2 linked regions of the Caenorhabditis elegans genome follow. The protein of the gene in region 1 purifies or fractionates together with the protein of each later gene. This does not show direct contact. Each region holds a gene or a part of one and is shown in the gene's direction. Other genes may lie near its edges. The genes, in order: F59B1.8 and atrn-1.

Region 1 (5,102 bases):
AGTTTGTAGTTTGTAGTTTGTAGTTGTTTGCAGTTTGTAGATAGTAATCCGTGCCGAGTGTTTTTTATAATTTCAAATCGTTTCTGTTACAGCGATTTCCGATATCAGAGTTAATATGCTATGTATGAAACATGGAGTAGCTTGTAGTTTGTAGTTTGTAGCTTGTAGATTTTAGTTTGTAGTTTGTAGTTTGTAGTTTGTAGTTTGTAGTTTGTAGTCGGCACCGATCGTTAAAGCGATTTTCGATATCAGAATATGCTATGTATGAAACATGAAGTGGCTTGTAGTTTGAAGTTTGTAGTTTGTAGTTTGTAGTTTGTAGTTTGTAGTTTGTAGTTTGTAGTTTGTAGTTGTTTGCAGTTTGTAGATAGTAATCCGTGCCGAGTGTTTTTTATAATTTCAAATCGTTTCTGTTACAGCGATTTCCGATATCAGAGTTAATATGCTATGTATGAAACATGGAGTAGCTTGTAGTTTGTAGTTTGTAGCTTGTAGATTTTAGTTTGTAGTTTGTAGTTTGTAGTTTGTAGTTTGTAGTTTGCAGTTTGTAGATAGTATTTGGTGCCGAGTGTTTTTTATGATTTCAAATCGTTTCTGTTACAGCGATTTTCGATATCAGAGTTAATATGTGATTTGTAAAACATTGAACAGCTTGTAGCCTGTAGTTTGTAGTTTGTAGTTTGTAGTTTGCAGTTTGTAGGTTGTAGTCGGTATCGAGTGTATTAATAATTTCGAATCATTTCTGTTGAAGCAATTTTCGATATCAGAGTTAATATGCGCATGTGTGAAACATGAAGTAGTATGCAGTTTTTAGTTTTTAGTTTGTAGTTTGTAGTTTTTGTAGTTTGTAGTTTTTGTAGTTTGTAGTTTTTGTAGTTTGTAGTTTGTAGTGTTTCAAAGATCAAGCGTGATATTTTCCAGGAATTAAACAAAACGTGTTGTGTCACGGAGATTTATGGGCTGCCAACTTTCTGTGGACCGAAAATAATGGAGTTTTCTGTGCCACCAGAATTGTGGACTATCAGGTATATTTATTTGACAACTATAAATATTTTCCACTAAAACCTGCACATTTTCAGATGTCCCATCTAGGAAATCCAGCAGAAGACCTGGTGCGTCTCCTGGTCTCAACAATTACCGGAGCCGATCGTCAAGCCCATTGGCAGCAGATTTTGGAGCAATTTTATTCGTATTTTTTGAATGAACTTGGCTCGGGTGAAGCTCCGTACACTTTGGAGCAGGTTAGTTTTTGAGAGCAATTTTTTTATTGAAAATAAATTTTTTTCAGCTGAAGCTCTCTTTCAAGCTCTATTTTCCAGTTGGAGCATTGGCTCTTCTTCCATTGTTTGGGCCGGCTGTGGACGCGAAATTGGAGGGGATGGATTCTGAAAAAGCTGAAAAATGTCGTCACGTAGTTATTGAAAAAGTTGCATGTCTACTGGATGACCTGGAAAAGTACCATAAATTTTCCAAAAGATATTTTCAAGAAAAATAGTTTCGTCTATTTTTTTCGAAAATATTTTGTTGCGAACTGCAAATAAAATCTGTGAAATAAATAATTTATTTATTGTTTTCTTCTTGTTTTATTCAATTAAAAAAATTTAATTCATTTTCGAAAAAAATTGCCCAATTTGCCTTTTGTTTTTACAATACCAGATTTTTTTAAAAATTGGTTCCATTTTTTTTTAATTTTGAAATGTATAGAAAACGTATTTTATAGCGTTCATTTATTGCACAACAGTTTGTAGATCAAACTATCAATCACACATTTTCCACCCGCCGTCTCGTTAAAATGACGTCACTCACACACACAAGGCGGGAGGGAAAGAGAGAGGGTGTCACAAAACACAGTGACTACACAATGGGGTCACAAAGTGTGGCGGTTATATAAATAGTGCGTTCGTTTTTTTTTTGAATTCAAGTGTTTCCGTTTTTGTCCTGTCAAATGTGTTATTTCCATTGATTTCTTACACAATTTATTTCCAAGAATTTTTTAAGTTTGTCTTTTTATTATAGCTTAATAAAAGTTTTTATTTTTAAAAATCTATTAAAATAATTTTCAGCTAAAAATGTCTACAAAACCATTGTCAATTTTGCAGCCAGGTACTGGATTATTCAATACCCATGTGACTTTAGAAGATGTGAATAAAGCTATCAAAGAGCAAATGAGCACTGAAAGTGAGCTCACGGCGGAGAGCAAAATGGAGGTTATTGGGGAGGGTAATGTAAGTTTTTTATTCAATTTTTTTAAACAAAAAAACATGTTTTTTTTTTCAACTTGAAAACTGGATTTTTATATGAATTTGTAAAATAGAAATATTATAGTTTTCAATTTTTCGATTTTCCGGAAAATAAAAAAAATTGAAAACAAAAAGTTTCAAAAAATTACCATAAACCATAAAATTTAATTTTTAATCAGCTTTTGCTTTTTTAAATTTTTTTTTGTTAAAGACGAAAATAAACCAAAATGTTAAGATGTTTTTCGGAATATTTGGAAAAGAAATAAAAAAATCTTTGGACGACAGCAAGTTTTCAAAAAAAAAATCAGTTTGCGACCCAATATGAAAAATATGTACCTTCTTGTTATAAAAATTTTAAAATTGAACGCAAATAGCGCCAACCAATCAGTGATATAAGCCACGCCCTTTGCTTATCACTGATTGGTCAGCGACTTTTGCGCAGTGTTTTTGTGCTCTAGCTAGTTTTTATTTGGGGAGATAATGAGAGATAAGCAGTAAAAAAATCAAGCTTCCCATTTTTCAGGGCTTCTCCTCTTGCGTGATCCTAATCACCTGTCACTGGACCATTCCCTCGTCCCATCTTCCCAAGAAGCTAATTCTGAAAATCGTTTCATTCGTTCATGTGCAGGGCCTTCTGAATAAGTCCAATGAAGAAGGGAATTCAGTAATGTCGCCGGAAGAAGAAGCCCATGTGCATGCACATTTCGAGAAGTCCTGTCAAAAAGGGCATAACTTGGAAGTAGAGTTCTGCGAAGCTTTCGGACATTTGGAGGGGCTTCTCCTTCCCAAAGTATTCTTCTCGCAGAAATTCGAGGAGGACAACCCGAATAAGGGATTTGTTGGAATGGAGTTCGTTGAAGGTTCAGTCGTCCGGCACTGTTATGAAAATGTTACTGTAGATGAGCTCCAGCCAATTTTGAAGGCTCTTGCAAGGCTCCAGGCGTTGAGTTTGAGCACCGAAAGCTGCAGAAATTTAGATAATGGAGAAGCCTTTGAAGAGAGTTTAATGGATATGTTGTCCGAAGATGGCCTGAAAGGGATTTTCGATCAAAGCCGGAATATTGACCAGAAATTGAGTGAAAAAGTTGAACGGATTGAGCAGAACCACAAGGAGATTCTGAATTTGGAGACTGTTCTCAATTTGAATAAAGTTGTAGGTAAGAGTGAATTTTTAAAAAATTTCCAAATGTAATTTTTACCGTAGCTTTGAAAATGTTAAAAAAACATTTCGATTTTCTTTTTTGAAAACCATAATTTTTTTACAAACACTGCAACTTGTGATCAAATTTTCTCCTCTTATTTATGTACATTTCTAAAGATTTTGAAAGAAAAAGGTCTCGCAACGAAAATATATCCCATGTTGAAAATAGTTTCTCGCGGCGAAAATTGGATCTTGCCACAATAAAGGATCTCGCCAAAAGTTGAAAAATAAATTACCCGCTATCACCCTCCGTGGTATTTTTTTGTAGGTTGCAAGTTGTAGTTTGTAGTTTGTGGTCTGTAGTTTGTAGTTTGTAGTTTTTACATTGTAGTTCTTTTTTGTTATGTTTCAGAGGTCTAACTTTATATTTTCAGGAATCGACCAAAAAGTTATCTGCCATGGAGATTTATGGGCTGCCAATATTTTGTGGACCCAGACGGATGGAGGTTTTATTGCCGACAAAGTTTTGGATTATCAGGTAGAAAAAATTGATTTAATGTCGAAAATGTTCAAAAAAATGAATTTTTTAGGAATCTCACATGGGAAATCCAGCTGAAGATTTGGTGCGTCTCCTCGTCTCAACTATTTCCGGAGCCGACCGTCAATCTCACTGGGAGCACATTTTGGAGCAATTTTACACTTATTTCACGGACGAGATAGGCTCCAACAATGCTCCATACACTCTTGAACAGGTAATTTTTTGAACCATTTTTTTGGAAATTAAAAATTCTAAAACTGAAAATTTTTCAGCTCAAGACCTCTTTCAAACTGTATTTCCCAGTTGGAGCATTGACACTGATCTCCTTGTTCGGGCCGGCTGTTGACATGAAATTGCAGGGAATGGAGTCTGGAAAAGCTGAAAATTACAGACGGATTGTCATCGAAAAAGTGGATTGTCTGTTGGATGATGTGCTCAATTTTCATGATTTCAACAAGAAGTTCACTGGAAAAAATTAAAAATTTTTGCTTGATATAGTCATTTACTATATATAAAGCGCTTATTCCGTTTGTCCATAGTTTGTAGTCTATGTAGTCTTTGTATTCTGCGAAGTTTTAGCTTCTGGAGGGATAGTGAGTTGGGGTTAGTGTAGGGATATAGTCGGGGTACTGTAGTGGTACAATGGTGGTACGGTAGGAGTACTGTATGATTACGGTAGTTTCAGAAAAATTGGTTTTCAGCTCCAGAAGTCGGGGGCCGCGCTGGAGGTGCGGTCCACGGCTGGTTGGAAAATAAATTGATTCATGTAACTTGAGGAATTCTATGCATTTGTCAATTTTCTGGAATTAGATAAAAGCGTAATTTAGGCTAACTTGGCTTAGGCCTAGGCTTGGGCTTATGCTCAGGCTCAGACTTAGGTTTAGGCTCAGGCTCAGGCTTAGGCTTAGGCAAGCCAGAATTTTCTGAAAATCGGAAAAATATAAATTAAGAACAAAATCTTCAATATTATTAAACCTAACAATGAAACTATAAACATTTAAAAATGCATTTGCCTGAAAAATTTGGTCAAATTCGGAAACTGGATGAAAATTTATAAAAAGGCCGGAAACGACGTTGAATATTAGCGGAATTGGCATAAAAAATTTCCTTGGAGCCAATTTTTTTTAAATTTTTTAAATTTAGAGAAATAATCTAAAATTTATTTTCCTAAAAAAGAAGGTGT
Region 2 (7,783 bases), on another chromosome or scaffold:
TTGAGAAACTAAGAATTAACGCTGATTTTTCTGTTCTTTCTGTTCCGTTTCCACCCAAAAAAAGCCGCCTGTTTGCTTACTATGCTCATAGTTTGAATCGAAAAACGACTGCCAAAACTTGATTTCCGCTCTTTCGAACATTTTTTGAACAGACTATTTGCAGAGGCATTGTGCAGAAATAGCGGAAGCTATTTCAGTTTGTGTTAAGTTTGGAGGGACCTCGAAATGTTTCCTTGTAGCAATACTGTTTTGGTCAGTGCCAGCAGCTTTTTTTTTGGAATGCCTTACAATAATTTTGCATTTTAACAGGGCGTTTCTCGATTAGGTATCAACTGATAAAATTCAATACAACATCATTTTCACATTAATATTTAGCTATTGATTTTAAAAACGCCCTCAATAAAGAATTTTTTGGGTGATAGTGGTGGTTTTTACTTTGTAAGAATAGTGATAATACAAACATTTTTCGGTCTGCTAATTTCAGATTTTTTAGTCTATAGATGAAATACTTTTTACGAAACGAAAAAATAAATAAAACAAAATTGGATTGTTTTTTAAAAATGCTCGGAAACATTACACCAGTATCTTTTTTCAAAACATGGGTTTTAAAAAAGGTTATTATTTTTACTTCTTTCCAGTTTTTTTTTGAATGCCTAATTCATTCTCAAAATCACAAAAAAAATTACCTGCCTACTTCTTTAAAATTATAATTTCGAACACTCCATTTACATATAAATTGACAATGTTTCTTGGTCACTTTCCAAAATATTTTTCGATATTTTTATTTTATTTCTAATGCCTTGTTTTCATTGGTTGATAATAACTATAATATACCATGTTTTTTCTAGAAAAAAAATCACAGTTACAAAACAGGACGCAAAATGTGAGCGAAAAGTATTGTCAGATTTCAAACACTTTAGTATTAAATTATTTTTCACTCCAATTTTTTCCCAATGTGAAAATTATAAGTTTGTGATACTACTGAAATACTGACACGTAGAAAAAAACAAGCCGTTACTTATTTCAGTGACTGATTAAAATTATAGTTGCTAACCATAAATCTTTTTTGATTTTAATCATTTTTGGGGACTCAGTTGCTCTCCACTATTTTCCCGGTTATTTTCAATGAATAATTTCATAAATGGTTTGAATTTATTTTCACATTGACCAAAGCTATGTACTTTGATTTAATTTAAAAAAAAAAGAAATTTACAGCTTCTTAGAATGTGACGATCAAAAACCACCCGCCTCACACCCAACATTTGTGACCTATTAAAAGCTGAAGAAACTGCGTTGGTTAAAAAAAAAGAACCGCTCGAATTAAACCAAAAGCGAAGACACACTGACTCATTTCGCGAACGTTTAAAAGCAAATTGGTGTTGTCTACCTAGTTTACCCACCTAACGTCGCTTCTCTCTGCGTTCTCTTCTTGCGGCACACTCCTTCTCCGCATCTCTTCGCGCAAGCGTACTATCGATCGATTCATTCTGTTCGCAGTGCCTCTTTTCATTCATTATTGTCGTCATCATCATCGCCTTTTTCTTCCTCTACGACGACGTGTCTTCTTCCAAATTAGTCATGCTTATAGTGTTGTTCCTTTTTCTCTACTGCGACAATTTTTGCTTATTTTCGACAAGTTTATTCTAATGAAACCTTTTTTACAGACCGATGTGCACGTGATGATTTCAGCAAGGGAAGTATTCCCATGCTTTATATTTCGAGTTTTCCTCCTTTTTCAAGTATTCTCCCGAGTTCACACACTAACAAATCATGCAAATTTTGAATTCGAAAAGGTAGGTTGAAACTTTAAAAAAAATGCGGAGTAGTTAATTTTCTTGACTCAAAATTGACAAAAAAGACTGAATTTCATCGTGAATCTATTTGAAATTCCTCAAAAACAATTATCAACTTCTCCGTGTTGCAATGACCAGAAATGTTTTTGTTTCTATTTCGCATACTTTTGCAGGGTTTATAACCATTTTTTGTGAATTTCGGTACATTTTTAATCAATATTTACACAAAAGTAATCAAATATGTATGTAAATGTATCGCCTAAAAACGTACTTCATGCACTAAATAAACATCTGAAAAGTGTCCAACAAAATATAAATTACGGCCGCAGCTTCAGTTAACTTCAAAAATGATAAAAAATTTTTTGAAAAAATCAAGAAAAATCATTACAAAATTTGGTCTTTTTGAGCCATTTTCTGACTTTGAAAGAGCAATTGGAAAAATTTGAAGCCTTTCAAAATTCGAAAAACTAGTGGTGTTGATTTTGTTTATTATCAAAAAAATGTTGATAACATTTTCCAAAATATTCCCTCAGGGACTTTTAGCGATAACATCTCAAAGCTTAACAAATTCCCACAACCAAAAATTTTCAGTCATTATCATCATGCGATAAACCATGTTACAACGGCGTCTGCTTGAACAAGGCCTGTGTTTGTTCGAAAGGATGGTACGGTTCACAGTGCGATCACTGTTTTGGGCGGATACGGTGAGCAACATTTAAGCTTTATTTCAAACAAAAAACGAAAGAAAAAAAAACGTTGAATTTCTTTAGAATATCTGACAACGCGAGCTACATTTCGGATGGACCTCTGGATTATAGCCCTTCAGCAAAATGCACATGGCTCATTGAACCGGAAAATGTATGTGTTGATGATAGATTGATGTTCTATAACATTTAAATTTTGCAGAGCGCTACTCCACTCAAAATTCGGATAAACAGCTTTTTCACCGAGTGCGGCTGGGATTATTTGTATATTTACGATGGTGATAGTGTTTATGGAAAGCAGCTTGCCGCACTATGGTTGGTTTTGAAATTTTAAAATTTTATGTGAAAATGAAATATTTCAGCGGAGAACAACCATCACAAGAGTTCACTGCGGCTTCTGGTAAAGCACTGGTGCACTTTTTCAGTGACTTAGCCATTAATTTAAACGGGTTCAATGTTTCATACGAGTCAAATCGGTGAGTTTTCGACATATTTATTGAAGTTGAGATTGTTGAAGTTTTTAAACGTGAATTTGCAGCTGTGCGTATAACTGTTCAAACCATGGAAGCTGCCTGAATGGAAAGTGTGATTGCGAAGATGGATACAAAGGTCTCAACTGTGAGTATCAAGTCTGCCAACTCAGCGGAAAATCCACGGAAAGTCCGTGTCATGAAGGTCAATGTGTTGATGGAAGATGTGAATGTCTCTCGGCAAGGGTTCATGGAGAAACCTGTCAAATGCCAGTGTCTTCATCGGTGTGGGACCTGATTCACCCGACTAACAATGCACCAACCGGAAAAGCTTCCCACGCGTCAATCGCTATCGATGATGTTGTTTGGAGCATCGGTGGAGAGTTTTTCGATGGAAGCTCTGATCCGAATAACATTGACGTGTACAACGTGACAAGTCGGATTTGGAGTAAGGTGGAGGTGTCCGGAGATATGCCGAAACCTCGCTTTGATCACACAGTTGTCAAGTATAAGGTTTGTACATTCTATTTCGAGACTTCTCTACCAATTTTTTTGAATTCAGAACAAGCTGTACATGTTCGGAGGAGTTACAAAAACCCAAGTCCGTCACCAAACGACACAAGCCGCAACAAACGAGCTTTGGATCTTTGACATGGGCTCTAAAAAATGGGCTCAACAGATTCACAAGAATGAGACAATTATTGCTGCGCCATTCGCAGTTGCAGGTCACTCAGCTCATGTGATTAGATCCGAGATGTTTGTGATATTTGGCTATAACCCACTGTTTGGCTTTATGCATCACGTGCAGATTTATAATTTTGGTAAGGAAACAAAAAAAGAAGTCGGAAAAAACAAAAAAAATGCTTTCAGAAACCGAAGAATGGACGGTGGCCAACACAAGCGATCATGTTTACGGAAGGTTTAAACATTCCGCAGTGGAATACACAACACCAACAGTAAGTTTTTTAGAGTCCTACTAATTTGAGTTAATTAACTGAGTTTGGTTTTAAAAAATGCGATGTCGTAGTGACGTCATTGAAGGTATTTAAAAACAGGGTTAGATGTTTTTTTTTTGATTTTTAACAATTGTGAACCCCCAATATTTTTGCCAAAACTGACAGCCGATACCTCGCTAGTGCTACACATATTTTAACAAATTTTGATGACAGCATAATGTCGGCTGCTTGTTGAATTATTACTAGACGTAAGACAGTTTTACGAGGATAACTTAGATTTTGTACATAATTCAAAACTTTTAGTAAAACAATTCCAATACCATTCGGAAAATCATTTCATTTCAGGGAGCCACTGCAATTCTGGTTTATGGTGGTAGCATGTGGAACAACACCATCACCGACAGCTTGATGCAATTTGACACATCTACCAAGAAATGGTCGAATCTTCCACAGTCTGGAGTTCAACTATATCTTCATGCTGCTGCATACCTTAATGGCTTGATGGTAGTCGTTGGAGGTCGAGGATCGAATGTGACGGCGGGAAGTAAAAGCGAATGCTTTTCAAATATGGTGCAATCCTATGACGTTGGTGAGTCAATTGAGTGATGCAATTTTTAAGCCGTCTACTTTTAATTTTTCAGCTTGTAAGCAATGGTCCAACATGTCAACTGCTCCAGTGGATTTGAAAAGATTTGGCCATTCTGTTCATGTTATCGGCCAGAAGCTTTATGCTCTTGGTGGTTTCAACGGAAAAATGAAGAGCGACGTTTGGACATTGAGTCCAGGTACTTTTAACTTAAAGCAACTCAAGTGTTCAAGTTTATTATTTTAGCAAAATGCTCATCAGCTACAAGACCTGATGAATGTCGTCTAATCACCGATGGCACAAAATGCGTTTTCGTCGACAGTTCCTGCGTTCCATTTGACCCAACAGTCTCCTACAAATCATCGTTCGCCTCAATGATTAAATCATCGACACCTAAATCTTTTGATGAATGCACAAATACACCATTAAGGTAAAAATTGAAAAAAAAAACATCGAATTTCAACTTGCAAGCTTTACATTTTCAGACTCGCTCTGAAAACGTGTGAAGAGCAAACGGATTGTGTCTCTTGCGCCTCTAAATCCGGATGCGGATGGTGCTCCTCAGGAGAGCAATGTCTTCCAAATGAGCAAGAGTGTGTGGATGGACCGGTGAGAAAAATTTTCGGTTGACTAGTAAATTATGCGATCGTTTCAGGGCATGCTAACATCCTGGGAGAAGTGCCCGCAAAGAAATAGTGTTGCAACAATGCGTCCATGCAATATGGAGAACAACTGTGGTAGCTGTAGAATCTCACCACACTGCACTTGGTACCCAATTGATAAAGCATCGCCTTGTGTGAGCAAGGAGGATTTGAGTATGTTTTTTGTATGATATACACGAGGAATAAACTAGAGAACTGAGAGCTTACAAAATGAGGCCAAGCACAATTTTATGAAAACTTTATATATACTTTGATAAAAACCGGAGAAACATTTTTGAGAAAAGTTTGACAGAACGAACATGTTTCTATGTATTATATAGTGCATGAAATAATCACCTGCCAGAAACAAGTGAGTTTTACACTCAAAATAAAAAAAACTGCAAGGCGTGTACTGCAGAAAACCTAATATTTAGGCCCCGCCTTTTTTCTTGTCCACTCACGGAGAAAAGGCAAAAATCGGGATCCCAACCAATATCAGGCCGCCGACATGTCACGGGTTCCGCGCGCCGCTGCGTTTAACTCGCTGTGGGCGTGGCGAGCTGTCTCCGCCCGCTGCGAGTTAAACATAGCGGCGTGCGGAACCCGTGAGATGTCGGCGGCCTGATATTGGTTGGGTTCAGATTTTTGCCTTCCACTCCCGTGAGTGGACGAGAAAAAGTACACGCCACACAATGTTTTTATTTTGAGTTTTTTTTTTTGAATTAACTAAAAAACACTGTTTAATTTGGTATTTTTCAATAAATAGGACAGTTATTGATTTGAAAAAAAACCGCCCAACACTTGGAATCACAAACTTTTAACAATTCAATTTTATTTTCAGTTGCCGTCGTCTACGAATATGAGACCAAGTCAGTTCTTGCTGATCGCAACAAGTTTCTCTCACCTTCGCATTTCCCATCTTTCTTCCGTAACGCTACCGAATGCCCAATGCCTTGTGCTCAGCGGAACAACTGCAGCGATTGCACCGATCTTGAGCAGTGCATGTGGTGTCCGAGCACGAATAGATGCATCAACTTGGAAGCATACACGCTGTCATTCGCTTATGGACAATGCCACTCGTGGGTTACATCTGGCTCAGGAAGTGTTATCAATCGAGTTTGTCAAGCTGGTGAGTAACCTCTTTGAAGCGTTTGCATTCCGATTTTTATTCGGCGTTTCAGAGTCAGTTGTTTGCGAAGAGCACAAGACTTGCGGAGAATGCCAGAGAGATCCAGGATGTGGATGGCTTGCAGACGACTCCAAGACTGGTCTCGGACTTTGCATCCGTGGTACATCAACTGGCCCGTTAGAGCCAAAACCAGAAAACAGTACCTGGTATTTTATAGACTGCCCTGGTAAGTTTTGATAACATTGGTTAATTGATTTCATTAAAACCCAACTTTTCAGCGTGCCAATGCAACGGACACTCTACGTGCTTCACTTCTGTTGGTTCCTTCCCTCCGGTCACAATTGAAAAATGCCAAAGTTGTCAAAACCACACCACCGGTGCTCACTGTGAGCGATGTGCTCCAGGTTTTTACGGCGACGCCAGAAACGGAGGAGTTTGTTCACGTAAGAACATTGAATCAAAATTTCAACAATGATCAATTATAATTATTATTTCTAGCATGCGATTGCCATCATCAAGCTGATATGTGTGACCCAGTGTCTGGCCAATGCTTCTGCAAAACTAAAGGAGTCACTGGAGACCGCTGTGATAAATGTGAAGCGAAATATGTGGGCAATCCGAGAAATGGAACACCATGTTTCTGTAAGTTGTTTTATGGTTTAATGAAATTCAAGTTCAAATTTCAGATGAGCTAGCCGTAGACTTCATATTCACCTTCAAGTTGAGAAGCGACGATAAGGATAATCACACGAGTGAAATTTACCTATACAGTGTTCCATATAAGGTACATCTTAACTTGTCATGTTTATTTGATAAATTATAATTTTGTTCTTTTCAGAAAGACACTGACGTCACATTCCAAATCAGCTGTGAATCTCCAAAGGGTAACGCACTTGTTGCTTTGAACATGACCTCGTCTTATGTGAACGGGCTCGCGGATAAGTCTCAAGCCATGATGGTGGATACAATTTGTGACTCGAAAGGATTCCGACGTGTCTATGTGGCATCAGATAAGGGATATCCATTTGGTCCAGATTCGAACACTACCTTTTTCGTAAGTTAATTGCAATACCATTAAGAAGTTTACACATTTATGTTGTTCAGGTTCGAGTATACAACTTCAACACGCCAGTTCAAATTGTTGTCAGTTTTGCACAATCACCGCCGATCAACTGGGTCCTGTTTTTCGTGATATTTGCAGCGTAAGCTTTGAAAACTATTTTAAATGGTTTCCTAGAAAACGAAATTCCAGATGCTTCATTGTCCTTCTAGTCGTTGCCGGTCTGCTGTGGATGATCAAAGTTAGGATAGAAGCTTATCGCAGGAATCAGCGGCGGATAGATGAAATTGAGCATGTAAGCTTTTACAAAAAAATGAAAACTGAAAAAAATAGAAGTTTTTTTTGGAACCCATTTCTCAACTATGTTCAAGTTAGTAATAATATTATCAAAATATTAAAAGTATCACATCAAATTTGAATCCAGCCAATCCCGAGTAAGAATCC

What was found.
Region 2: the proteins of F59B1.8 (region 1) and atrn-1 fractionate together in Caenorhabditis elegans (co-fractionation; one large-scale study listed by BioGRID). This does not show direct contact.

Annotation. Positions count from the first base shown.
Region 1 is NC_003283.11:3,641,205-3,646,306, reverse strand, and holds F59B1.8 (CHK kinase-like domain-containing protein), read left to right. Parts: upstream 1-2,063; 5' UTR 2,064-2,069; coding exon 2,070-2,225; intron 2,226-2,763; coding exon 2,764-3,397; intron 3,398-3,815; coding exon 3,816-3,919; intron 3,920-3,971; coding exon 3,972-4,133; intron 4,134-4,191; coding exon 4,192-4,398; 3' UTR 4,399-4,449; downstream 4,450-5,102. Other genes in the region: F59B1.10 (CHK kinase-like domain-containing protein), read left to right, coding at 922-1,025, 1,080-1,241, 1,289-1,495.
Region 2 is NC_003284.9:14,709,915-14,717,697, forward strand, and holds the start of atrn-1 (CUB domain-containing protein), read left to right. Parts: upstream 1-1,664; 5' UTR 1,665-1,679; coding exon 1,680-1,793; intron 1,794-2,384; coding exon 2,385-2,497; intron 2,498-2,563; coding exon 2,564-2,651; intron 2,652-2,699; coding exon 2,700-2,812; intron 2,813-2,859; coding exon 2,860-2,973; intron 2,974-3,035; coding exon 3,036-3,480; intron 3,481-3,529; coding exon 3,530-3,788; intron 3,789-3,837; coding exon 3,838-3,923; intron 3,924-4,268; coding exon 4,269-4,512; intron 4,513-4,564; coding exon 4,565-4,708; intron 4,709-4,755; coding exon 4,756-4,939; intron 4,940-4,994; coding exon 4,995-5,118; intron 5,119-5,164; coding exon 5,165-5,324; intron 5,325-5,991; coding exon 5,992-6,279; intron 6,280-6,331; coding exon 6,332-6,505; intron 6,506-6,557; coding exon 6,558-6,722; intron 6,723-6,777; coding exon 6,778-6,921; intron 6,922-6,965; coding exon 6,966-7,063; intron 7,064-7,117; coding exon 7,118-7,333; intron 7,334-7,383; and 4 more.